4 linked regions of the Saccharomyces cerevisiae S288C genome follow. The gene in region 1 interacts genetically with each later gene. Each region holds a gene or a part of one and is shown in the gene's direction. Other genes may lie near its edges.

The links.
Region 2: mutations in PMU1 (region 1) and APC11 together harm fitness more than expected from each alone (negative genetic interaction), as found in Saccharomyces cerevisiae (one large-scale study listed by BioGRID).
Region 3: mutations in PMU1 (region 1) and HSP10 together harm fitness more than expected from each alone (negative genetic interaction), as found in Saccharomyces cerevisiae (one large-scale study listed by BioGRID).
Region 4: mutations in PMU1 (region 1) and CDC21 together harm fitness more than expected from each alone (negative genetic interaction), as found in Saccharomyces cerevisiae (one large-scale study listed by BioGRID).

What each region holds. Positions count from the first base shown.
Region 1 is NC_001143.9:200,384-203,762, reverse strand, and holds PMU1 (putative phosphomutase), read left to right. Parts: upstream 1-1,991; coding exon 1,992-2,879; downstream 2,880-3,379. Other genes in the region: phosphoglucomutase PGM1, read right to left, coding at 1-222. UniProt on the Saccharomyces cerevisiae protein: Probable phosphomutase that may have a function related to the manipulation of phosphate groups on carbohydrates. Reduces trehalose-6-phosphate levels when overexpressed in TPS2-deleted cells.
Region 2 is NC_001136.10:431,520-439,740, forward strand, and holds APC11 (anaphase promoting complex subunit 11), read left to right. Parts: upstream 1-1,977; coding exon 1,978-2,475; downstream 2,476-8,221. Other genes in the region: glutathione-disulfide reductase GRX6, read left to right, coding at 811-1,506; YDL009C (uncharacterized protein), read right to left, coding at 1,406-1,729; YDL007C-A (uncharacterized protein), read right to left, coding at 5,048-5,305; proteasome regulatory particle base subunit RPT2, read left to right, coding at 6,528-7,841. UniProt on the Saccharomyces cerevisiae protein: Probably catalytic subunit of the anaphase promoting complex/cyclosome (APC/C), a cell cycle-regulated E3 ubiquitin-protein ligase complex that controls progression through mitosis and the G1 phase of the cell cycle.
Region 3 is NC_001147.6:366,713-374,830, reverse strand, and holds HSP10 (Hsp10p), read left to right. Parts: upstream 1-3,986; coding exon 3,987-4,307; downstream 4,308-8,118. Other genes in the region: DDL1 (putative carboxylic ester hydrolase), read left to right, coding at 1-1,121; protein-arginine N-methyltransferase SFM1, read left to right, coding at 1,392-2,033; MCO10 (Mco10p), read right to left, coding at 2,874-3,146; YOR019W (uncharacterized protein), read right to left, coding at 4,512-6,704; ROD1 (Rod1p), read right to left, coding at 7,949-8,118. UniProt on the Saccharomyces cerevisiae protein: Eukaryotic CPN10 homolog which is essential for mitochondrial protein biogenesis, together with CPN60. Binds to CPN60 in the presence of Mg-ATP and suppresses the ATPase activity of the latter.
Region 4 is NC_001147.6:463,262-471,690, reverse strand, and holds CDC21 (thymidylate synthase), read left to right. Parts: upstream 1-4,101; coding exon 4,102-5,016; downstream 5,017-8,429. Other genes in the region: SKI7 (Ski7p), read left to right, coding at 71-2,314; UFE1 (Ufe1p), read right to left, coding at 2,439-3,479; SGO1 (Sgo1p), read right to left, coding at 5,148-6,920; YOR072W-B (uncharacterized protein), read right to left, coding at 7,061-7,222. UniProt on the Saccharomyces cerevisiae protein: Thymidylate synthase required for de novo biosynthesis of pyrimidine deoxyribonucleotides. Required for both nuclear and mitochondrial DNA synthesis.

The sequences.
Region 1 (3,379 bases):
AATCTTGTTCATGATAACATCGTTGTAGAAACGACCATCTCCTCCAACAACTAAAGTGGTTCCCTCTGAGCCATTAGGGATAGATTGCATTGTTGCTTGAATGAAGTTCTCAGTATAATGAGGCTCATCCATGAAAACCTTGGTCTTCTTACGTAAACCTGAAGTACCCGGTTTTTGGTCCTTATAAGCAACTGTTGGTACAGAATCTATTAGAAGTGACATTTACTATTCAATTGAGTTGTTAGTTACCTATTTTTGCACTATTGAACCGAAAGTGGATGAGAGAGAGAATGTTTATAGGTAGACCAAAATCGATGTGATGCGCCCTTCTCCTTTTCTTGCATCCGTAATATAAACGCGAAATACCAGGTAAAAAAAGACAAAATCTCAAATAGCGAGAATGCCGATTTTAGAACATCATTTTTCTATTTACAAGTATAGCATTGTCGGTACTGAATGCCCTTATTCCTCATGACAGACTGAAACCACCGTGATACAATTGTGGTAACGTCATACATTTGACATTTATCAGGGGAAGACAGAGATCCTCTACTAGGTCATATGCGGGATAAAAAAATCTCCACGTCAATAGTGTAAAATTGTAAATAAAACTGTGGGCATTGCTGTTCTCGAGAAAAGCTGCCACTTGTGTTTGAACGGTGTCGGCTTTAGCATCCTGTTTTAAAAAGAAAGCCCTGTAGGGGGCTCGAACCCCTAACCTTATGATTAAGAGTCATACGCGCTACCGATTGCGCCAACAAGGCTTTTAAACGTGATTGTGTTGTATCTCAAAATGAGATATGTCAGTATGACAATACGTCACCCTGAACGTTCATAAAACACATATGAAACAACCTTATAACAAAACGAACAACATGAGACAAAACCCGACCTTCCCTAGCTGAACTACCCAAAGTATAAATGCCTGAACAATTAGTTTAGATCCGAGATTCCGCGCTTCCACCACTTAGTATGATTCATATTTTATATAATATATAAGATAAGTAACATTCCGTGAATTAATCTGATAAACTGTTTTGACAACTGGTTACTTCCCTAAGACTGTTTATATTAGGATTGTCAAGACACTCCGGTATTACTCGAGCCCGTAATACAACAGATTGATACGACCGTTAGAAATCGATAATAGATTCTCTATAATAGGCTCATTATAATAACTACTATCCCTAAATTCACCTATTTCTCCATATCATGTACGGCAAGTTTTTTTGAGAAGAAATTTATTGTATTTTATACTTCACAATAATGCTTTTAGTAAGATGGGATCAGAACAATCATTACAAAATTTCATTTATAGTTCAGCGATAATGTTCTGAAAAAGTTTCAATTCAATTCACGTGAGGACAATAACACTATGTACAGTAGATAACTTAAAAGTTCTTCTGCCGCGTTTTGGATAATTTCACGAGGGGAAATGGACAATTTTACTTAATACTGCTACCATTTCTTCCCTCGTTTATATCCTTTCATTCATTGCTGGGTTTGCATGGTCAGTCCTTACTAATTAGCTTCCTATAAACTCGATGACAGTTAGGACGCTCACGGACAATTATATTCTGAAAACACAAGTAATACTATTAATCTTTTGTACCAACAATTGATTAATACCAAACTCTTATTCCAAACAAAAGAGGTTCGTACTTAGCCGGTCAAACCTGGGCTGCGAAAAAGTCCGTGAAAATTAAGAAGAGGCTCAGTGTTTTCAGATGAAAGCGATTAAAATTTACAGATATTATCTTCTATTGCGTGGTTGTGCAACGTTTGAATAAATATTTGTAATCCTAATTTCTTGCAGATTCGGATATGACCCAGCAGGCATGTGCGAGTCAAGTTAATTTTTCGGGTGCTAGCTAGTACTGGAAAAAGTAAAAAGTGTCATTTGCAAAAAAAAACCCTCGAGAGATTTGTATGTTATTTAACGATTTCTTTCCAAGACTCTGCTGCGTGAAATCACCAACAGTTATTCAACAATGTCACTCAGAGCAGTCCCAGGATATTTTGCTGCATATCCAAGTGAGGGTTTTCAAGGATTAGACTCCACGAAATATGATCACTTAGAATTGATTAACCATAAGAATTGGAAGGAACTGTATCATGCTATCCCTAGAAATACCAAAAATCGCCACTATAAGCTGTTGATTTTAGCTAGGCATGGTCAAGGTTACCACAATGCTGCCATACTGAGGTACGGTATGGAGAAATGGGACGCCTATTGGTCGTTGCTTTCGGGCGATGAACATGGAGAGTGGCTTGACTCTAAACTGACACCTCTGGGTAAAGATCAAGTTAGAAGAACAGGATCGAATGTCTTGCTACCAATGGCAAAGCAATTAGGTATGCTACCTCATGTGTTTTTCAGTTCTCCAATGAGAAGATGTCTCGAAACATTCATTGAGTCGTGGACACCAGTGTTAGCGGAGACGCAAGAATTACCGGCCGGAACTAAAATTTCTACACGCATTATAGAAGGTCTAAGGGAGACGTTGGGCTCTCACACTTGTGACAAAAGAGTGGCTCACTCAATGGCAGTTGACGAATACCAGGATTTCAGCACGGAATCGGGCCACACTGTACATTGGCAATATGTACCAGATTACCCAGAAGATGATGAATTGTGGCTTCCTGATCATAGAGAAACGTGTGCTGAAATGGACAAACGTACACTGAATGGATTATTTGAACTATTTAATCAATTGTCAAGCGAAGAAAAATTCATCTCGCTTACTTGTCACTCAGGTGTCATTCAAAGTGTCTTGAGAAACTTACAGCATCCTCCAATTTATAACCTGGACACAGGTAAAGTCGTCGCTGTCGTCGTGGAAGTACCAGTCAACACGGCCGATCGCGGCAGGCTCTGAATTTTCCCACAGCGCCCATTCGGGACTTTCAAATATGTGGGTAATTTAAATAATTTTTTATAGATATAATAGAGTGGATGGAATAAAACCCTTTCTTTTCAAATAATGTGTTAAGCACTTTGAGAAATGGTTGAACCTTTCACTTTGATCATCGCTTTCTCAAGCTAGGTGAGAACATACATTTGAGTATAAAATAAAAAATGCATATGTGAAATTATATGAATGCAAAGGGTTCTTAGTTCCTTTTTTATTCTTGTATAGTTTTCACCGCTATGTCCACTCCCTCTTTTATACTATACTAATCGATGCCACAGAAAATATAGGCTTGGAAGTAATAAGCCCCCTTCATATACTTTCGTACAAGAAAATGTAACCGGTACATTAAAACAAACTTCAGTAGCCTCCCCTAATCACTCGGCAGGCAGACCTACGATCTTGAACAACTATTATATAGTAGCAAGATGCTAGCTCCATCGCTTTTCTAACTAAAGGTAAACTGA
Region 2 (8,221 bases), on another chromosome or scaffold:
GATGTGTATTTGCTTGGTTTATGGGCTATTGTATGGGTTTGTCTTAATATCCTTTTCGGTTGCGTAAATACTTTTTATATTTCAATATTTCACGATGCCGCTGATAGCATCGTTTAATACGAAAACTTCGAGCCATTTACCAAGAAATATTCTGGACTAGGTGGAAGGAAGCTTCGAGAACTCACCGTGGCTATTCAAGGCTGATGGACATATGTACTGGGCTGAGCTTAAGATCTCCCATTACTGCTCCGTGGGGTTTTATGTGAAATGTGGCGTTTCAGCAGTTTTTAGTTGGCTAATTTCCTAAAAGTAGTAATTAGTTTCTTATGATGGATTTAATGGCGTAGTTCATCCGCGTTTAATTTAACTAGAGGATAATCTACTTGCAGCATGAATGAAAATAGTAAGCCAGTAAGGATGCACTGACAGACTCAGCTACCGATTAGTGTTGTTGACTTTTCCGCAAGATCCTTTTCTCCCTCTTTGGACCTAGTCATCCCTCCACACAAGATTCGCTCTTAAGTAGTGGCGCAGGCTGTTCGCTTTTAAGCATAGTGCTTAATGTCGAAGGCTTTATAGATCCCAAATACTACGCCTTGAGAAATTGAATGCACTAGCAGTTAGTTAACTTTCTGGAACGCGCATGACGCGTCCCGGGGCGCCTGAGGCGGAGCGTTCGCGAAATCGGGAAAACATTATACTGGGAAAGATCACTATCTATTCTCTAAATGAACTTTTAAGCAAATTATCGTAAGATAGAAAAGACGAAACCTTAGCAACCTAGCGGTTTAATATAGAAACAATTTTATTATGATACCTTCCAATAAGAGAAATGCTAGAATTTTAAGCATTACAACGCTATTATTGTTGTTAGTGTTTTTCGTAGCGCAAAATGCGAACTTCTTGACGGTAGAGATAAAAGAGGAAACTTCTAAAGCATTTAGTACTAATATGGACAATATGGCTGGAGGATCTTCCAGGGAATATGCTGCTATGCCGACTTCTACCACGAATAAGGGGAGCTCTGAAGTAGACGAAGAAATTAATGAAATAAAACAGAAGGTGGGACTCCAACAGCCCATAGCATCGGTTGATGATAGTTTGTCGGCCATTAAAAACGATAAAGGGTCGCGAATAACCAAAGCTTTTAATGTTCAAAAAGAATACTCCCTCATACTAGACTTGTCTCCGATTATAATATTTAGTAAAAGCACCTGTTCATATAGCAAGGGCATGAAGGAACTGCTTGAAAATGAGTATCAGTTTATCCCAAACTACTATATTATAGAACTTGACAAACATGGACATGGGGAAGAGCTGCAAGAATATATCAAGTTGGTGACCGGTAGAGGAACTGTTCCAAACCTTTTGGTTAATGGAGTATCAAGAGGAGGTAATGAAGAAATCAAGAAACTGCACACTCAAGGGAAACTTTTAGAATCATTACAAGTCTGGAGTGATGGTAAATTCTCGGTTGAGCAACGTGAAAAACCTTCCAATAATTGAAATTGTTACAAAAAGGAAAGAAGAAAAAATTAAGAATAAATATATAAATAAAGAGGTCGTGAATGATTAGGTCGTGAAATGCAGTGTAGTTGGAAAGGCGTAGTTTTCCTAGCACAAGGCGTTTCGGAGTTGGAATAAAGAAGCTATCACCAACGAAGAAGCTTTTTTGTCCAAGACATCTCTTAAAAGGGTTGTGAAAACATAAAACGCTTAATGCCTTCATATATACATATATAAGTTTATGGTTTCGATGTTTACAATAACTTCTATCCTTTGCTGGTCCATGCACTTCACCTTGGTAAGTTATGCAACGCACTTTTGTCTACGCCTGCATTCGATATAAAGGGTAAGCTGCCGAGATAACTTTTGTATCTTCCGTGTCTGCAGATAAAAAAATAATGCATTCTTCAAAAACTTTGTACAATATCGGGAGAGTTTAACAAGCAAAGTGGCAATACAGATTATAAAAATATGAAAGTTAAAATAAACGAAGTGCACAGTGTGTTTGCTTGGTCATGGCACATCCCTAGCACATCTGATGAGGACGCAGCCAATAACGATCCAATTGGCAATGATGAAGACGAGGATGTCTGTGGTATCTGTCGTGCCAGTTATAACGGTACCTGTCCAAGCTGTAAATTTCCAGGCGATCAATGCCCTTTAGTGATTGGGCTATGTCATCATAACTTCCATGATCATTGTATATACCGTTGGCTTGATACACCAACCTCAAAAGGACTGTGTCCGATGTGTAGGCAAACTTTCCAGCTACAGAAGGGTCTAGCAATTAATGACGCTCATGTCCAAAAGTTCGTTGAAATAGTTTCAAGAAGAAGAGAAGAAATGATAGAGGAGGGCGTCGCAGAAGAGTTTGTGGACTTTGATGAACCAATAAGGCAAAACACCGATAACCCAATCGGTAGACAGCAAGTTGATACCATCCTGGACGAAGACTTTTTGTTACGATAAAAAAGAAACTTAGAAATCACAATTAGCTATATTTCCATACGGTTCTTTTCTTGTGAACGCTGTTAACATTCTGTATACTTAAATGAAAATTTAATATTGATTTTTTCTTGTTGCAGCTAAAGATAAAAAAATTTTCTTTTCCAATCGTTGAATAGATGTACTGTAGCCGGAACTGAAGTTAAGGTTGTTAGATTGAAAAAGAACAACAGTGTACTAATCATGCTAACGATGACAGCGGTATCGTTGCATACTTAGAATACATAAAAATATGCTTCCAATCGGATTTGAACCGATGATCTCCACATTACTAGTGTGGCGCCTTACCAACTTGGCCATAGAAGCTTCTGATTTGTGTTCATTTGATTGTAAGTTAGAGTATTTCAAGCTCTAACTCAATTATGTGAACTTTCATAAAATTGTGTTATTTTTGAGAAATATGTGAGTTGTTAGATAATTGTTGGGATTCCATTGTTGCTAAAGGCTATAATATTGGTATACAGAATATACTAGAAGTTCTCCTCGAGGATATAGGAATCCACAAAAGGGAATCGATAGTTCTACATAATGTTATTATTTTATCTTCTTTCCTTTTATGCGTTGTCATTCATTATCCTATTACATTATCAATCCTTGCATTTCAGCTTCCATTAGATCGGATGACTGTTTCTCAATCTTTATGTCATCTTCTTACACCGCATGTGATAATATAATATTAAATAGATGATATTAGAGTTCAATTCCAACAATTTTCATTCTAGATAGCGGGAATATTACTGGGTATTCAGTATATCACAACGTCTCTTACAAGATAGAGGATACTACAAGAGGGAAGCAAGAATCATACATGGTAATGTTGTTTTTTCTTCCCCACATTTTTTGTTATCATTCGTTATTTATTATATTTTCAATGCTTGCATTTGCAGCTTCCATCTCATCTGATGACTGTTTCTCAATTCTTATAGTGTGTTATCATGTACGGTATTAGATGATGACATAAGGTTATGAGAAATTGTCGTCGAAGTTAAAGGAAGCTGTATTCTGTATACATAATACTATAGAATTTACAAACAGTGGAATTGCAACAATTATCAAATTATTCACCTAATAATCACCTTTAACATTCAGGGAGGTTTATTTTTGCTTCCGAAATTTTTACAGTCTACAGGGAAGAAATAAATATTTAGTTGAGAAAGTTTTGTTTATTTGTAAGTTATTAATTTGAAAAATAAATACCATAACTAGCGCAAAGCTTATAAAAGAGATGTTTGTTGAAAAATGCAGAAACCCCATATATAAAACCATGAAATGTCACAATGGACATGATGTACATTCTTGGAGATAACATCATATTCGAAATATTCAATATGCCCAATTGGTACCTGTTCTCCATACCCCATTATATGATACAAATGATCTGCCCCTATTCTAACACTGTGCTAGCAACATAGCAATTATACTAAATTTTTTCAGTCACTATGCAATACATGTAATCTCTCAACTACCAAGCAGTCATTATTCTATTAATATATATTTGTGCTTGGAAGTATTGTTTCACTTCTCAGAGGCCTTTCTTGACATGTTATAGTTTTTTAGGTACCTTCTAATCCTGTAAATTTATACAAAAATTGGTATATAATGGCTACCTCCGGAAATTTTAACAACTTTTGGGTCACACTATTACTGTGTATACTTCCTTTAGAGATCTCAAGCATTACTGAAAGATAACCTGAGGAAAAACATAGCGCGTCTACGGATGTGTAATACTCGCTGGATTTCCTGGTAAAAACTACTGTACATTTATCAGCTGCCTCTGCCAATGCTATTGAGAACCGTAGGTTCATTAGAATTACTTCATTCAACGGAAAACGTCACTATACCTGCCGCTTGTGTGTCGCGTCAGTAACGCCTTGACAGAAAAAGAAAGAAAAGAATATGACCGACCGATCGATGTATTATTATTATTGAACTGATTATAAAAAATTGGAACGTCGTAGAATCAGAAATCATAAGACAATGGCCAACTATGCCAAATCACACATCAATATTTAACCGAGATAGCAAAAGAAAATAAATTTCGATTATTTTTAAAATGTAACTGACAGTTTTTGGCACTTGTGGACTTCCTCTTTCCGGCAGATAGCAAAACCAACGGTAGAATGGCCCCGAAATTTAAATTTTATTTCATTGTGTGCTTGAGCGTGGCCTTTTTTTTTTTTTTTTTACATATCACAAACAATTCACACATTACCACACATACCATAAGCTAACGTATGCGGTGCAAAGTTCACTATTAGGCGCTTAAAGGCTTGGAACGAAATGACTTCTGGCTTTTGTTTCCTATACACATTCTTAGCAAAACTTTTGGTGTTGTAACAAGCAATGAGATAGAGAAAGAAATATATCCATCAATGGAAGAAATAGGCAGACGTCGGTAATTTTATTCTATTGAAAATATGCAAAAGTGACAGTATAAATTGAAGTAACTAATTTTACATCTAGTAAGCTGCTGTTGAAGAATTGAATAGTATCGCAGTATTTATTTTGTATACCCTTAGAATACACATACTTGGTGTTAGAAGCCATCTAATACACTATATAACTCGGGGATTAAATCATCTTGGAAGAGCGAATCTAGTTCAGGATCGCCTGTCGTAAAGTTCGAGGATAAGGACATCGAATTTAGTAGTAGTCCTAATGACTCGATGTTATTGTCTAAAATTTGTTCAATTTCTTTTCCTGATTTATCATCGTCTTCTTGAATAGGTAAACAGTAATATTTACCAAAGTTCAGGAGGGTTAGGATGGTGTGAAAAATTATAGGAAGGAACATCAAGAAAGTGCTTGAAATATTTTTCTTGGATTATGGAAGTATCAAGAACGATATTATTTCAATAATGTGATGGTTTATATCTTTGCATACAATAGATTTTGTGATACTTTTTTTATGTAATGGTCCCGTAACCCCGTCGCTCTTTCCCTTTTAATTTTGCCCGATCCACTTTCTATGCCGGTAGTTTAGCCGCCAAGTGCTATTTTCAAACGAATCAATAGTAGCGGCTGCAACTTTGAAAAAGAAAGAAACAAAATTATGCGCTAGTTTTCCATTTCTTGTATTCTTTTTTCTTTTGCGGTGGTAATTACGGGAATTTAGTGATGTTGGAACGAGAGTAATTAATAGTGACATGAGTTGCTATGGTAACAATCTAATGCTTACACCGTATATTAATGTACACCTCGTATACGTTTAAGTGTGATTGCACCTATTGCAGAAGGAATGTTAAACGAGAAGCTCAGACAATACTGAAGCTGTGCTAAAGATCTATTAATTGAACATGATATGGTAGGTACATATATGAGGAATATGAGTCGTCACATCAATGTATAGTAACTACCGGAATCACTATTATATTGGTCATGATTAATATGACCAATCGGCGTGTGTTTTATATACCTCTCTTATTTAGTATAAGAAGATCAATACTTATTTCTTCATTAATACTATTTTTTACCTCTAACTATCAACAAGTGATAATTGTTGGAATTCCATTGTTAATAAAGGCAATAATATTATGTATACAGAATACAGCTTCCTCTAACTTCTATGACAGTTTCTCATACCTTATGTCATCATCTAACATTGTACATTATAATATACTCGTAGTAAGACTACTAGTTGAGAGAGAATAGTTGATTTTTATTCTAACAAATAATATTCCAGCAGGTTTACATATTCCTAGGTTTGGGATATATCTTAAGTCAATAATTCATCATTAGTAAGGCAACTTGGCCGAGTGGTTAAGGCGAAAGATTAGAAATCTTTTGGGCTTTGCCCGCGCAGGTTCGAGTCCTGCAGTTGTCGTCATTTTTATATTCCCAATATTTTTATCACTCCGGGTAACGAGTTATTAACGGTTTTTCTCCGGTGGCAAATGTCTCTTTTCTTTTACCTAAAAGAAGGTTAATGTGAATATTAGTGAATATGATGCGTATCAGTGTCAAGCTTACAGTCAATTCAAGTTAAAGAAGAGACAGCGTTTTTAATAGAAAATAAAATGGGACAAGGTGTATCATCTGGACAAGACAAAAAGAAGAAGAAGGGATCTAATCAGAAACCCAAATATGAACCTCCCGTTCAATCTAAATTTGGTCGTAAGAAAAGAAAGGGAGGTCCAGCTACTGCTGAAAAATTACCCAACATATATCCAAGTACTCGTTGTAAGTTAAAGCTTCTAAGGATGGAACGAATTAAAGACCATTTGTTATTAGAAGAAGAATTTGTCTCTAACTCTGAAATTTTAAAACCCTTTGAAAAGAAGCAGGAGGAGGAAAAGAAACAATTGGAAGAAATACGTGGAAATCCATTGAGCATTGGGACCCTTGAAGAAATTATAGACGATGATCATGCGATAGTGACAAGTCCAACTATGCCTGATTATTATGTATCTATCTTATCCTTTGTCGATAAAGAGTTACTAGAGCCTGGATGTTCTGTGTTATTGCATCATAAAACCATGTCCATCGTAGGTGTTTTACAGGATGACGCCGATCCAATGGTTTCGGTCATGAAAATGGATAAGTCGCCAACAGAATCATACAGTGATATTGGTGGCTTAGAATCTCAAATTCAAGAAATAAAAGAGTCTGTAGAGTTACCGTTAACACACCCCGAACTGTATGAAGAGATGGGTATCAAACCTCCCAAGGGTGTGATTCTTTATGGTGCACCCGGTACAGGTAAGACATTGCTAGCAAAGGCTGTTGCAAATCAAACATCTGCCACATTCTTAAGGATTGTTGGCTCAGAGTTAATTCAAAAATATTTGGGGGATGGTCCTAGGTTGTGTAGGCAAATTTTCAAAGTAGCGGGTGAGAATGCACCAAGTATTGTATTTATTGATGAAATAGACGCCATTGGTACTAAAAGATATGACTCCAATAGTGGTGGTGAGAGAGAAATTCAGAGAACCATGCTGGAATTGCTGAACCAGCTGGACGGGTTCGACGACAGAGGGGATGTGAAGGTGATTATGGCCACTAACAAAATCGAGACTCTTGACCCAGCATTAATCAGGCCTGGGAGAATTGATCGTAAAATCTTATTTGAAAACCCTGATCTAAGTACTAAGAAAAAAATTTTAGGGATTCACACTTCCAAGATGAATTTAAGTGAGGACGTTAATCTTGAAACTTTAGTAACAACAAAGGATGATTTGTCAGGCGCCGATATCCAGGCAATGTGTACAGAAGCAGGTTTGTTAGCCCTTAGAGAGAGAAGAATGCAAGTTACAGCGGAGGATTTTAAACAAGCCAAGGAGAGAGTCATGAAAAATAAAGTTGAGGAAAATTTAGAAGGTTTATACTTGTGATGTGCCCATTTACATTTTTCTATAATAGATTTACGTATATAAGTAATGCTTCAACAAAGCTTAATATGTGTACATTTTGTATCACGTGCAATATTTGTTTCAAAAACTTAATATAGGTAGGGCGTCGGGGCCTTCGCGAATTCTAACTGCAAAGGAAAACTGGTGAACACATCTGAGAGGGTTTGTTGTCCTAATTTTATAGGAAACTAAAACTCAAAAGACAAAGTATACCTTTGCAAATTGAAAGCTTAGTTAAACATTATTATTCGTGTGTTTGAGGTCACTTTTTTTCGTCTTAAACAGCTCTCAAAGTTGTCTCAAAATTTTTATCCGGATTCCTTTACATTAACAGACCCCAAACACAACAAGTTTTGATAGTT
Region 3 (8,118 bases), on another chromosome or scaffold:
GAAGAGATGTGGATAACTTGATACTATGCGTTCACGGTATAGGTCAGACTTTGGGTAAGAAGTACGAATACGTAAATTTCGCACACACGGTAAATCTACTTAGGTCTAATATGAAAAAAATCTACAATAATTCTGAGAAACTACAATCATTAAACACAGCACCTGATTATAAAAGCAACTGTAACGTTCAAGTGCTACCCATCACCTGGAGGCACTCGATAAGTTTCCAAACGGATGCTAAGGAGGAAAATATAGAAAATCCTGACCTACCGACTTTGTCACAAGTCACAGTAAATGGAGTGTTACCCTTGAGGAAGCTACTGGCTGACGGTCTACTAGATATTTTGTTGTATGTCGAACCATACTACCAAGATATGATTCTACAACAAGTAACCTCTCAATTGAACAAAACATATCGGATTTTTAAAGAATTTAATCCAGAGTTTGATGGGAAAGTCCATTTAGTGGGCCATTCGTTGGGTAGTATGATATTATTTGATATTCTATCCAAACAAAAAAAATATGAATTAGAATTTCAAGTAGACAACCTGTTCTTTATTGGCTCACCAATTGGATTGTTAAAGTTAATTCAAAGAACAAAAATTGGTGACCGTCCCGAATTTCCCAATGACTTGGAGAGAAAATTAACCGTACAGAGACCGCAATGTAAGGACATTTATAATGTTTACCACGTCTGTGATCCCATTTCTTATAGGATGGAACCTCTTGTTAGTAAAGAAATGGCTCATTACGAACAAACTTATTTACCACATTGTAGTGAAGCTTATGGACTAACTTCTAAAGTTTTGGAATTTGGCGAAAACATATGGAAAGATTTGCCAGGTACTGATGAAAATAATTTGCAGTCCAAAAAAACTTCTCCAGAAAAAAAAGAGGTCAAGTTATCAGAAAATCTTACGAGAATGCTTACAGGTTTGAATTACACCGGACGTCTAGATTATGCTATGTCTCCAAGTCTGCTAGAAGTGGATTTTATATCAGCTATAAAATCACATGTTTCTTATTTCGAAGAACCGGATATTGCAGCGTTTATCCTAAAAGAAATTTTAAGTAAACATGAAAATGCATCAGAAATATATGTAAAAAGAAAGACTGGTTGATCAGTAAACGCAAGGCACAAGTTTTTTTTAACTTTTTTCTTTACTGTCTATTATAGTTCCACTGTGTAAGGTTGTATTCTTTCCGTACTTCAACTTGCGGGTAACAGGATTGACACCTTTTCAATTTTTTCCGTTATTTTGGATTAGAAATTTTCGGTAAGCTCATCGAGTATTGTAAAAGAGCAATGCCCTTTGCTTATTAGATGTTGAGGGGCATATCTATTGTTAATATAGATTGATACAGCTGTGGAGATTATTTCTAGATATACGATGAAGTACATTATTGAGCATATGGAGGAAGGGTTTAGTGAATGGGTCATTTTAGAGTATAGCCAAATCCTGAGAGAAGTAGGAGCTGAAAACTTGATTTTATCATCGTTACCAGAGAGTACCACGGAAAAGGACATCCCTCAAAGGCTACTAAAACTTGGTTTAAGATGGACTACAAAGGATTTGAAGGGCATTAACGAAGATTTCAAGGATTTGGAACTGTTAAAAGATGGCAGAGTCTGTCTATTGGACCCTAGGGCTACAATCGATTTACAGCCGGAGGATGCTACGAAATTCGACTATTTCGTATTTGGTGGCATATTGGGTGATCATCCTCCAAGAGATCGTACCAAAGAACTAAAGACTGCCTATCCGAATCTTTTAATTAGCAGAAGACTAGGTGATAAACAAATGACTACGGATACTGCCATAAGAACAACACAGTTGATTATCAAAGACAGGATTGCATTTGAAGACATCAAGTTCATTGACTACCCTGAATTTAGGTTCAATAAAAATGAGGCCACGGAAATGCCATTTAGATACGTTTTAGATAAAGAAGGTAAACCTATTTTGCCTGAAGGGATGTTGGATTTGATCAAGAAGGATTCTGCTCAAAGTTTGGACGATCTGTTGATGTAGATGAGAACAGTCCTTTAAGTAACATTCTATGGTTGTAATAAGTGATGATGCTTCCTTGTCAAAGAGTTAGTTGAAAAGTTTAGGGTCGTAGCATTAATTATATTGTATATAGTTCAAAAACGACATTCAATGAAAAAATCAAGTTTATTAGCCAATGAATATTTCGTATTTTGCGTTAGTAGCGCTACCAAGACTTCTGAAAAGTGCATGCAAGAAAAATAAAAACAAGGAACCGTTTACTTTTATGATATCATCATTGTCAGGCCAAATAGGATAAAATTGATTGGTTGTATTATGCTTTTTAATTGAAAAAAAAAGTAGAAACTTTTATTATTTTATTTAAATTAATTTCTTTACATTACTTGCATCTAAAACCAAACGAGCTGGTGACTTCAAGCACTGCACTAGTTGCCATGGCTTTGCTAATTCAGACGACCCCCTTGAGGTGAAAAAATAGTCTCAGTAATGAAACAATCATAGGCAATTAGTTCGATTTTTTATAATTATCTTCCAGCCTTTCAAATATTGAAAGGCCATCAACTATCACTTACACCTGAGTGTTGTCATTGATCCGTAAAGTAAAAAGAGGCAAGTTTTGTGCATATTCGTATCATGCACAATGGCCTAAGGCAAGTATTTTCAGTGTTTTTTTTTTTTCATTGCCGTTTTGCTATTCAGAATATATTGAATTATATGTATAATGCATACTTAATAGAAAGAAGGACGCTAATTTTCGTTATAGAACAGTAGTTTCAAAAAGTGCTTCAAGTTTATAGAAATCAGTGCATCCCTTCACTGAACGATGAAGAACACCACCATTTCAGAAATTTTTATACATAATCAGTTGGCTTTCGTATCCTGCCTCGTATCTTTCTCTAAATCATTTAAAAATCCTTCAATACTCTTTACGACATCATCGTCCTTTCCCATAGCATCTGAGTTTGAACTTTCACCGCTTTTTTGTTGGCTCAAGGCAGAACTATTCTTGCCTTCATTTTTGGTTTTTGGTTTCGTGGTAAAGTAAGATGCCACTGCAGCAGTAGCGATAAACGTAGATATAGCCAATACGTGAGGTTGAACCGTCTTCCCAAATACTTTGTATGCAGCACCCATTGAGATAGCTATATTTATTTTTGTATATCTTATGTTTAGAAACAGTAGCGACCTTTCTTACTTGTTCCTTCAAAACTTGACTTAGATAACTATTTACCCTTAAACCGTTAGCTCTGTATTATGGACTGTGAAATTACACCTCGTTACCCGAAGTTCTATTATATTTTCAATCCATACTCCTATGATCTCTTCATTGGGAAAAAAAGGTCCACTTTCTCCTGGATTGCTCGAAGGCTTTCCGTAAAGAAAATACCTTTTATTTTTCTTTGCTTTCTTTCTCCATTAAATAGTAAACGCCTCTTTCTGAGGCAGCTGGCTAAAAAAATGTAACAAGGAATTTTATTTTATTACGGTTCAGCAAAGGCCGTAACGATAGTTGTATTATTTTCGTTCATATGTAGCAGCGATGGTAGCATTTTTTATTGTATAAATTGTGGCTTGCGTCGATTATCTTATTATGCCACTCATAATAAAAAGTTACTCTCAAAATGTCAATATTCAATAATGCATGTCTGTCTTTTTAATTTAGTACATACGTAGGATTAGGTATTGGAAGCAATCATAATGAGTTCTAAAGTTGTTATTTCTCACTTATTGCACCTCTCGAAGTTCTCTCATTAGCCGCCCAATTCTCATTCGTGTGAAGGTCATTAACGGGGTAATGCCCGTCATCAATGATAGAAATTTCTAGAATCTTGAAGGAATGGGAAAAAGAAGCTTGATTATGTATAAAATTAGTCAAAACGCTTATACAGTACAAACTTATTATGTGCTAGGTTTAAAATAATTTCTGATAGAAGCCATTGATCGAAAATATATTGAATCTACAGAAAAAAAAGAATGTCCACCCTTTTGAAGTCTGCTAAATCTATCGTTCCATTGATGGACCGTGTCCTTGTCCAAAGAATCAAGGCACAAGCAAAGACAGCATCCGGGTTGTATTTACCTGAAAAGAACGTGGAGAAGTTAAACCAAGCTGAAGTTGTTGCCGTAGGCCCGGGCTTTACTGATGCTAATGGTAATAAGGTTGTTCCTCAAGTTAAAGTTGGTGACCAAGTTTTGATTCCACAGTTTGGTGGTTCTACCATTAAATTGGGTAACGACGATGAAGTTATTCTTTTCAGGGACGCTGAAATCCTGGCTAAGATTGCCAAGGACTAAGAATGATGTCTTCTTCAACAGAGATTTTATATACATACTCTATATGTATGTACCTGTAAATAGGCCATTATGTATGACAGGAAAAAAAAATAATTGAACTCAAATTTCTTCTGCTATTCAGTTGCTGCCCCCAATTGTCTGCTAATAAAATTGATCTATTCATCAATAGGAATTTTAGGGACACTATGTGTACAAACTATCCGCTCATATTTTGCCGAATAAGAACAATGATTTCTTCTTTTTTTTCTTCTTCTTTTTCTTGTCGTTACGATCATCACTTTCAAAAACATCGCCACTGCTACTATTCCTTCTACTGGATGATTTATTTCCAGAGGAACTTCCACTTTTAAACACCTTAAAAATCCCAACTCCACCCCCAGTGAAGGTGTTCACAGTACTAAAACTAGACGAGCTTTTCTTTGACCCTGCACTACTTGAGGAGTCATTAGTTTTGACTTTTCTTAACGCACCGGCACTTTTAACTTTCCTCAAAGGAATGCTATTATCAACACTACTGCTTTTATCAGATGGATCAAAGGAATTTTCTTTGTCGAAGGAAATACTGTGCCTTATATCAGGCAGATTTCTGGCTTTGCCAAGGGCGGCTCTTCCATCTTTGTGTTTTACAGAGGTTGCAAACTTGATTTGGGACGTAGGCGAGCTACTGAGTTTAATAGTTGTTGTGGTATTTTGTTCCTCTGAGGAAGAATATGGTATTAAAGATTTTCTAAACTTTGTGTTTTTCGACCCATTGCCTATCAAAGCATTCTTAAAGCTGGAAATTTGGTCACCGTGACTGGACTGCGATACATTTTTACCAGGCAACGTCTCTATCGCTAAAGAAGACTTCAATGACTCTCTAATTATGATATCAATTTTCTTCAACAAAAGTTTTTCCTTAGTACATTCTCTATCTTTCTCATCGTCTTGTAATTTTTCTATATCACCCGTGATCTTCCTTCTTGAATGCTGGGCGAGACCGGTCAATTTTCTTGGAATGGAATCATTAGAGGTGTTGAACTGCTTTTTGATGTAGCCTTGCCTTTTGAAATCTTCGGCGTACGAATCTACGGAAATATGTGAAGAAATATCTGATATTGTATTTTTTTTGAACATTGAACTGCTCATGCTCTCAACGTCAGTGTGTTCGTGCTTCATATGATTTTTTGAGACATAATGTTCATTTACTTCTCTTTGTAGATTCAGTTCGAACGAATACATTCGTTTCGAGGGAACAACAAATGTGGGAATCGGATAACTAACAGGAAAGACATCTGTCAGCTTTTTGGATTTATATGTAATAAGATTCTCATTTCGCTCGTGCTTTAAAGTAGCAAGAACTAAGAAATCTGGAGTATGGACATTAATGACATCTACCAGACTTTTTTTAATTTTGCCTACAATTATTTCTAAAGTAATTTTGACGGATATTTTGACCACTTTTACTAGCTGTAAAATATAATCAAAAATGTCGTTTAATTTTTGATCTATTACTTCTTTTTGATATCCCGGTGCCCATTCTGTATCATCTTTTGCAGTTTTTTTCCTGTTAGAAATCATTTTTGGCAGTGTAGTTATGACAACAATGTGATCAAGATTTCGTGCAAACTTGTAGACTGTCCAGTCTAGGGCAACCCACGTATGTTTTTTTCCGTTAATGTGACAAACTATTGTCTTAGGGTTATTGGGATATCCGACCTTTTGTTGAAGTATTTTATGCTTTCTTTTTTGTTCTTTTGTACATGGTGCACTATCATCTCCTCTATATAACGGTTTAATACGCTCTTCAGAGAAGATAAGTTCTGGGTAAGTAAACCATTTTTTTTTGTCATTCAGCCTTTCATTTATTTGTAGTTTTCTTTGGCGCCATAACTTTATCCAGTTCTTTTCAAACCTGTTTATCATCAACGTTTCGTTGACAATTACTGGCGTGCTTGGATAGTCTCTCCTCACTATTTTTCCATTCTTGGATACCAAGAAATATTTTTTGATGTCAGAATTCTTTTCCAACAACTTTGAGGATCTCATTGGAAAACTACTGGATTCAGATTTGTTCTCTTTTCTAGTATTCAGAAAAGGTGATGATTGGAATGTATCTCTCAAATAATATTGCAAATTTGGCGAAAAAGAGTCTGTTTCATCGTCATAGCACTCTTCCATCGTGTAATAGTTGGGAACAGGTACACCTTTGAATCCTTCCCTGCTGTCGTCTATAGAAGAATAACCAGCGGTGGAAGGCACTGTGTCAAAGGCAACAGATGGTTGGAAACTGCCTTTCTTTTTGGCCCGTTTTTTAAGGTTTTGTTCATTTCTCTCTTCGAATTGTTGTCCTGGAACATCGAATGTGAGGCTTCTGTAGCATTTTTGCAAGTCATTTTGTGGGCAAACAGAAATCATAATAATTTAAGGTTGACTTGCCAAAAGGGTGCGTGATCTATAGCAAGTTGAATATTAAAAGCCTTTTTAATGAGGAGTCCTTATTTTAATACGTGTTGGATTCGATGTCCTTTCTTTCTGGTCCTATGCATTAGTGTGGATGGTAACGAGACATGAACCCAGAAGGATATATATGTATCTATCTGCAAATCATATTGCTACTAATAATGGTAGATTGCCATTCACAAAAAAGCCGCCCCTCATAAAACTCAGCCGCGCAAGCTTTGAAAAGGGGCGAGCGGCTGAAACAGAACGGTCTTCTAGAAGGCTGATTCAGCAGTAATTAAGACAAAAGCAGTACTACCAGCAAGAACATAGGAGGTGATTGAGTTATTAATTGAGGTACATCTGAATTGCAAGAACTCTAAATATTTTCTTTTGCGATGAAAAACTGATGCTTGTGTGATTAACATATAACGTAATTCATTGAGAGAAAAGAGCAGCTGTGCTCGAGATCAATGAGTTGACTATAAAAATAGCAATTTCCGTAGGATCGCAAAGTTGGCTAACCGTATAAAATGGGAGGATATATACGAATGATGTCTGTGGGATCTTTAACATTTAATTAGAAAATTTTGTAGTGCCAATAATTGTTGAGGAAGAAGTGCCAAGTAAAGAAAAACAGATCTTCTGAAGCTCATTGTATTCTCATTATATTCTCTCAAAAATACGTTCGTATAACTGATTAATCCTGTTTTTCTAATCACTATTTTAATGTTTCAATTGAGGGATTTTGCCTTCATACAATTGTTGAGAGAAATTTTCCAACAAGTATGGGAAATATGAGCAATTCTTATCTTTTAAAAACAAGAACTGGTCCGATATTATTCACCTCAAACATATTGGACGAGATCATTTTTAAAACGTTAGGGGTGGGGAGGATATCAATAAGTTTTCATAATTATGTTAACCTTCAAGCCATAAAACCGAGTAAGACCACTTAACAAAATCTATGAGAAGCCTTGCGGCAGAATCTGACAACTTCAGTGAAATTTTTTTGTGATTATAGAAGCATAAACTACAACGCCGAATTGTTTTACTTTATAGCAATTATGAGGTAGTATTATAACATTATATTATCATTTTTCAAGTGGTATGAGGTATGAAAGTACTCTATCAAAGTATATATGCTTAACTGTACAAACGTGTATGAAGTATTGCTCATATCTTTTTGTCGAAATTTCGAAGACAAAAAATAAAGCAGTCTATGAGCGATCCCGTTTTGTGAACATCTCCATTAAATTAGCAAATGAACCTGTTCCTTGTCTTAATGGTGAGTTGCTATTGTTGCTCCGAACTGACGATGAGCGTGACCTTCGATTGTGGGTTGCGCTCGTATAGTTTTCCTCTTCTCTTGGCTTATTAGCGTCAGATG
Region 4 (8,429 bases), on another chromosome or scaffold:
ATAAACCTAGAGACCCTTCTACAATACACGTACGAGGAGGTGGTCTTCGAAACTTACAGTACCACCTGACATGTCGTTATTAGAGCAATTAGCAAGAAAAAGAATAGAAAAATCTAAAGGCCTTTTAAGTGCGGACCAGTCTCATAGTACATCGAAAAGTGCATCCTTACTAGAAAGACTACATAAGAATAGAGAAACTAAAGATAACAATGCTGAGACAAAAAGGAAGGATCTGAAGACGCTACTTGCAAAAGACAAGGTAAAAAGAAGCGACTTTACCCCGAACCAGCATAGTGTTTCATTGAGTTTAAAGTTGTCTGCCTTAAAGAAGTCAAATAGTGATTTGGAGAAACAAGGAAAATCAGTGACATTAGACAGCAAAGAAAACGAACTCCCTACCAAAAGGAAATCGCCTGATGATAAACTCAACTTAGAAGAGTCATGGAAGGCTATTAAAGAAATGAACCATTACTGTTTCTTGAAAAACGATCCATGCATAAATCAAACCGACGATTTTGCGTTCACAAACTTTATCATAAAAGATAAAAAAAACTCGTTGAGTACATCAATACCGCTATCGTCGCAGAATTCATCATTTCTGTCCTTAAAAAAGCATAACAATGAGCTCCTTGGTATTTTTGTGCCTTGTAACCTGCCGAAAACAACTCGTAAAGTAGCCATTGAGAATTTCAATAGACCAAGTCCTGATGATATAATACAATCGGCCCAACTTAATGCTTTCAATGAAAAATTAGAAAACTTAAATATCAAATCTGTGCCCAAGGCCGAAAAAAAGGAACCAATTAACCTTCAAACACCACCTACTGAGTCGATTGATATTCATTCATTCATTGCCACCCATCCTCTGAATTTGACATGTTTGTTCCTCGGTGATACAAACGCAGGCAAATCCACTTTGCTTGGTCATCTTTTATATGATCTAAACGAAATTTCTATGTCATCAATGAGGGAACTACAAAAAAAAAGCAGTAATTTGGATCCTTCATCTTCAAATAGTTTTAAGGTCATTCTAGACAATACCAAAACAGAAAGAGAAAATGGATTTTCCATGTTTAAGAAAGTTATTCAGGTAGAAAATGATTTACTACCGCCATCATCAACCTTGACGCTTATAGACACTCCTGGTAGTATCAAATACTTCAATAAAGAAACTCTGAACTCAATTTTGACCTTTGATCCTGAAGTTTATGTATTGGTTATTGATTGCAATTATGACTCGTGGGAAAAATCATTAGATGGTCCAAATAATCAGATTTATGAAATTTTAAAAGTGATCTCTTATTTGAACAAGAATTCCGCATGCAAAAAGCACTTGATAATTCTTTTGAATAAGGCAGATCTAATTAGTTGGGATAAGCACCGACTAGAAATGATTCAGTCTGAGCTAAATTATGTGTTGAAGGAAAACTTTCAGTGGACAGACGCAGAATTCCAATTTATCCCGTGTTCGGGTTTATTAGGTTCGAATTTGAATAAAACTGAAAACATCACAAAATCTAAGTATAAGTCAGAATTTGACTCTATAAATTATGTTCCCGAATGGTATGAAGGTCCGACATTTTTTTCGCAACTATATCTATTGGTAGAGCATAATATGAACAAAATAGAAACAACTTTGGAAGAGCCATTTGTAGGCACAATACTGCAATCTTCTGTTCTTCAACCGATAGCGGAGATAAATTACGTGTCACTCAAAGTCTTGATCAACAGCGGATATATTCAATCAGGCCAGACAATTGAAATTCATACACAATATGAAGATTTTCATTACTATGGTATAGTTTCAAGAATGAAGAATTCAAAACAAATACTGGAGACTAACACAAAAAATAATATATCAGTCGGTTTGAACCCTGACATTTTAGAGGTTCTTGTTAAGATTCATAATACCGAAGACTTCACGAAAAAGCAATTTCACATTCGTAAGGGTGATATAATAATTCACTCTAGAAAGACGAATACACTATCACCGAATTTACCAAACACACTAAAGTTGTTAGCCTTGCGTTTAATAAAATTATCAATACAAACGCACGCGCTAAGTGATCCCGTTGACTTGGGTTCTGAATTGCTTCTTTACCATAATTTGACGCACAACGCGGTAAAATTGGTGAAGATTCTCGGGACTAACGACATCTCAATTAATCCAAATCAGTCACTTATTGTCGAAGTCGAAATTATAGAACCAGACTTTGCTCTTAATGTGATTGATTCCAAATACATTACCAACAATATTGTTTTAACATCAATAGATCATAAGGTTATCGCAGTTGGCAGAATTGCATGCCAGTAATCCTACAACTAAGAAATTATACTAGGCATTCATACTTATTGTTTAATATATAAAATGAATAGTAATAAGTTGATGATAGATTGATTTTTTTAACCCATTTTACACATATCTTATGAAAGTGATATTAACCTACATAATCTAGGAACAATATAAAAACACCCATGATAATGGCACCATAAGTGGTCATTTTAGCAGTTCTTCCAGCAGCTCGTTTCGCTTTACGTAATTCTTTATTTCCCTTCTTAATATTCAATTCAATGTCATCTTGATTGTTCAGCATTAGGTTTATATTTTGAGATTGCACCGTTAAATGATTGGACAATTCGTTCTGTATATTGACAATGTCTAAAATTGTTTTGTTTATAGTCTCCACTTTTTTCAATTGCTCATTTTTTTGATTTAGCAGTTCCGAATGTTCTGTCTCCAACACTTGTAGTTGCTCCTGGGTTAATTTGGATATCGTCTCTTCATAATGTTTTACTTCGTCTTGTACAGTTTCTACGGGAGCAGATTGTGACACTGAGATGTCTATTGCATCTGCAGAGAAATCATCCGCATTGTTGGATAAAGTAGGCATAGGCGTTGAATTGAAATTCATTTTATTTTCTAATATCAATCTTTCCTGTTGTATGGTAGTGAATTTGGATGAAACATATTTTATCCACAAATTCAAACACCGTAGGACACCTAATCTAAATTCATAAACTCCATTTTCAATGTCTTGCGGATGTATCACATGCTTAGTGTTGTCGTTTTTATTGGAAAGTATTTTTGACCATCTGTGAGACTTTGACTGAAATCTTTTCAGCGACAAATTATGCCTTTCCATTTCGTAATTCTCTAGGAATTCAAACTTTTTGAAATATTGTTGAATTTGCAGCCTGCATTCCATGTCAAACTCGTCCTTTTCCGCATCACTCATATTAAAGTCATCTAAATAGTTTTTTTCAATCTGTTTTATTACCTTGTTTAATTCGACTAGGAACTTCAATAGTCTTGCACATTCCTTAATAAACGAATCCCTAAACATTTCACACGTTTCATTAGAATTCCCGAAGTCCTCTTGTTTCCTTTCAACATGATCATCTATACCATTTTGCTCATTTCTAGCATCATCGATAACAGCAACATACTTACGGAATATTGGTGTTAAATCAGACATCATGAGTTAATAAGCTCTTCACTGCTTTTACGGGTGATTTCCCAGCACCGGGGGAAATGATACTAGACGTATGTGTATGTATTCTAGTTATTCTCATTCATCTGAGCTCACAAGTTGGGTAGGGTAACGGAGATCTTTCCTTGTTGGCAGTTCTTAATTAAATGTGCCCTTTTCAGAAAGATACCAGCAAAGGTAGGAATGATTTATCATTACATGACATGTATCCATATTCCAGGATGGATCATGCGAACAAGCTTCTTTCCCCTCTCGTCTGTAAAGGACGGGATTGAGATTCAATTAAAAAATTAGTTTCATTGGAAAAGGCCAATAAAATATGCAAAGGTCCCGTCATTATACTGCAGCTACCTCAAAGAGATTAGCTTTGTGTCCTCAACGTAGGACCGCATTGAACAGGTTGGAAGAGGTGTTGCTTTTTTGACCTTCTTTCTCAAACTTAATATTTGGTGACGCGTTAAATAGAAAAAATGAAAAAGACCTTAATTGACGCGTTTCCTGAAATATTTACTATAGCATAGCTGTAATTGTATTTTCTAAACTTGTAAGTGACTGTGTATATCAAACAATAAAGTATCAAGGAGAGAGCTTCATAACAGAACGGTACAGGATGACTATGGACGGAAAAAACAAAGAAGAAGAGCAATATCTTGATCTATGCAAAAGAATCATTGATGAAGGTGAATTTAGGCCAGATAGAACAGGCACTGGTACGTTGAGTCTTTTTGCACCACCCCAGCTGCGTTTTAGTTTACGTGATGATACCTTCCCACTACTAACGACCAAGAAGGTTTTTACTAGAGGTATCATACTTGAACTATTGTGGTTTTTGGCCGGTGATACAGACGCTAACCTATTGTCTGAGCAAGGTGTTAAGATTTGGGACGGTAATGGATCTCGTGAATATTTAGATAAGATGGGGTTCAAAGATAGGAAAGTAGGAGATCTGGGGCCCGTTTACGGATTTCAATGGAGGCATTTTGGTGCTAAATACAAGACGTGCGATGACGACTATACTGGACAAGGTATTGATCAATTGAAACAGGTTATACATAAACTAAAGACAAATCCCTACGATAGAAGAATCATTATGAGTGCCTGGAACCCAGCTGATTTTGACAAAATGGCTTTGCCGCCATGCCATATTTTTTCACAGTTCTATGTCAGTTTCCCCAAAGAAGGAGAAGGATCCGGTAAGCCCCGCCTTTCATGCTTATTGTACCAACGTTCTTGTGATATGGGGTTGGGAGTACCATTTAACATTGCATCATATGCTTTGTTGACTAGAATGATTGCTAAAGTTGTCGACATGGAGCCAGGTGAGTTCATTCATACTTTGGGGGATGCACATGTTTATAAAGACCACATTGATGCCTTGAAAGAACAAATCACCAGAAATCCAAGACCATTCCCGAAACTAAAGATTAAAAGGGACGTTAAAGACATTGATGATTTCAAGTTGACAGACTTTGAAATTGAAGATTATAATCCTCATCCAAGAATTCAAATGAAAATGAGTGTATAATTGACAGCACGAGGAGAAACAAAATCATGTACTTACGTATATACACACAAAATCGAATGTATATAATACAATGGTTTATTATGCAAAAATATAGAAATTATTAAGGAACACCAGGGCAAAAAGACTATATATCATTTTTTGGTGCGATATGTTTTTGGTTGATGTTTCACTGCCTTACCATTTCCAAATAAATCAAATACTGCTAAATCATCTTCATTTAGTCTAAAGCTAACAGATTTATTATTAACATTATTAATGTTTGAATTGTTATTGTCGAAATTGTTGTAATTGTTGTTATTATTACTGGTTCCCTTTGACGACTTGGAGGGTCGCGTAGTAGAATTTTCATCAGATAAATTATTGACAATTGCATTTTTGAACAATTTTTTAGTTCTTGTTGACTTTTTCTTATTCTCCGATTTATTTGTAATGTCAAGTAAAGGCGACGATTTTTTAGGGCTATTGTTGCTAGTTAGTTTTTTTTCGTTTTTGTTGTTGCTGTTGTTGTTGGAAGTGGTCATTAGATGAGCGGTATCCTCGTGTATTTCATCTTCCGTTTTTTTCCCTTTTGGAGTTCCATAATCCTTTGAGACGACGACTTCTCTCAATTGCGGTTCGTCGGGTATTGAATCTTGGGATAAACTTTTCCTTTTATGTGAAGTTTCCCGATTTCTCTTGGAAACCTGTAGATCATGTATATCAATCACAGTAGTAGCATCCACAAGTTTTTCTGAAGGCCTCCTCATTTTGGCTCTTAAAGAAGGCAAAGTGTAATCTACAGCTTTACCACGAGTTCTTCTAGTTCTCGTAAATGATATTTCGCTGTTGCTGCTCATGTTACTTACGGGCATGACTTCGTCAATAACCTTTTTCTTCAGTTCTATCCTAGGCGGCTTCATGGAATGCTTAATTTTGGTCTTTGGATGAGAATTAGTAGAAGAACTTGATGAAGGATAGACCGTTGAAGCATCGCTAGTGGTAGTAGGTAAAGTTGCGGATGGGCCTGGTAAAGGCAACGGCAAAGGATTTGACGGCACTGTACTTAGCATATTTGTACTGTCATTGAATATTTCTAGTTTAGAAGATGAATGCTCGGGTTCTGTCGGATTCTCCTCTGGTATGGAGTATTCTATAATTGAATTGGTAAAATTACTGACAGAATCGCTATTTTCCTCTTCAGGGTTTAAGGCATCTATTGTTTCCTCCACTTGCGCAGACTCGTGTGATTCTGCCGGTACCTCTACAGAGGAATTTTCCATCATGGGTTCGTTTTCACCGGTTTCGTCTTCAGGTTCTAAACTCGTGGATACAAACATAGATTGCCGCCTAGAACTCTTCCTTTTTTTAGCCTTAGGCTCAAGATCTGGACCATCGTCCTTGTTAAAACTTGATTCATGCGACAGGTTATTCTCGTGATTTGATAACCTAGTGTAACTTTTTGAGTATGTGGGTGATGACAATGAGCATGATCTTGACCTGGAACTCGTTCTCTTCAACATTGTTCTTAAGCTCGAACTGGGCAAATTTTCGTTTTTACGTACGTTCTCAAACATATAAAAAATTTCGTCAAATCTTTGAATAATACCGTTTTCAATGACTTGTAGTTGATTACTTAACCGTTCCCTGTAGATAGCTTCGCTTATAGAGGTTTTAGATCGTAGAGTCACGTTTTCTTGTACCAGCTGGCTTATTTTTTTTTCCAAGCTATTAACTTTAATTTTTAATATGGAGTTATCCTTGGCCAGCAGGGAGTTTTGCCTCGAATACGACTGTCTGATGTTTTCCACTTTTTGCGATTCGAGATCCATTAGGTTTTGAAATTCTTGTATTTGTGGGGTTAAATCATCGTGGGAGACCGTACGCCTGCTGCTTTCCTTGTTAGGAGCAATTTTTCTCTTCGGCATGGTCAAACAATAACCCCTCTATACCCAATTAAACATATATATGCGTGTGTAAGTAATATAACCCTGCGCCTAGCAGTAGTTGTAATGTGGAAATGGCATTATCAATATTAGTAGACGCTCACTTTGTGAAATTTCTTTGTTTACAAAACAAAAGGGCCTTGAAAAAAATAAAAAAAATCTGTTACCCGACCAATAGGAAATAAATAATCAAAAATAAAAGGGGCGAGCTGGGAATTGAACCCAGGGCCTCTCGCATGCTTTGTCTTCCTGTTAGTCAGGAAGTCGCCCAAAGCGAGAATCATACCACTAGACCACACGCCCTTGTTAACTTGTTGTTAAGACTACTTAGTCTTGAGTATCACACTGCATTCAGTAACATATATTCTTTTAATCTTCTGGCTGAGAACTCCAAGAATAATCGCTAAAAATACTCAAGGGTAAGTACCCCAAACAAAGTTCTGTCCTTCTTAGATATTTTAAATGAGGGAAACTAAATCATTAGTTTATTATTTAGATGCATTTTTCCCAGCTTTAACCTTTTTATTTAAAGGAAATTATAAAAAAAATTTTAAAAAAATGAGTTTTGCGTATCCAATAAATAATAGACAAGATGCTGTCACAACAGTATTAAAATTTCTGAAAGATTCTGCTGTCTCTGGACTGTGTAATACAACAATTCTTCGGAAAACTTGATTCGGAATAAACAATGGTCTTTCATTTATGGAAAATTTTCTTCTTTGTCTCGGTCACTAAAAAAAGCCTTAGCAAAGCTATATAGAAAGAAAATAGTGATATGGTGTATTTGCCGTAAAACTATGGTTTATCCAAGGTCGCCTTCAGTAAACTTTCGGAAATATATTCATCGGAGATATATTATATAATGAGTACATAGCAATCTAATCATGCTGGGTCTTCTTGCACCCCAATGAAACCATAATCATGTAAATGCTTGAAAATTCCGGGCATACTATCCTCTTCCTCAATAACCCAATCGAAGTAGAGTGCTAGTTGTGCACTATGTCCTTGCTGCTCATTAAATAAATTTACTGACAGTTTGGTGGAATTTCTTTGTTCGATCAGATAGTACTGTTAGGTATTTGTTGACATTTACTTCCCTATCACATCAGACCACTGTTTCTCCTTCCTTTTTGCCATCTTCTTACCTATTATATGATAATATAGTTCAAAAGGAAATACCAGTCAATGAATGATAATTGGCTCTTACTCCAACCGTTCTTAATCTGGACCAGTAATTGTTCTTATGGTGAAAAAGTATGGTGACGTCTTTACTTTTAAAAATATTTTTAACAGTTGAAGGAGCTCCCCGTGTACATCTTGCCAGATCTTCAAGAGAAATGTCACCAAATAAATTATGAAATTAAAGTACAGCGGTAGTGATAAAAACGATCATCAAGTAGTGCCATCCGATATTTCGTGTCAATTTCCAAGCTCATGATTTATGACATACAGGATTTTCAAGAATATTAAATCTTGTTCCTGAGGAATTTT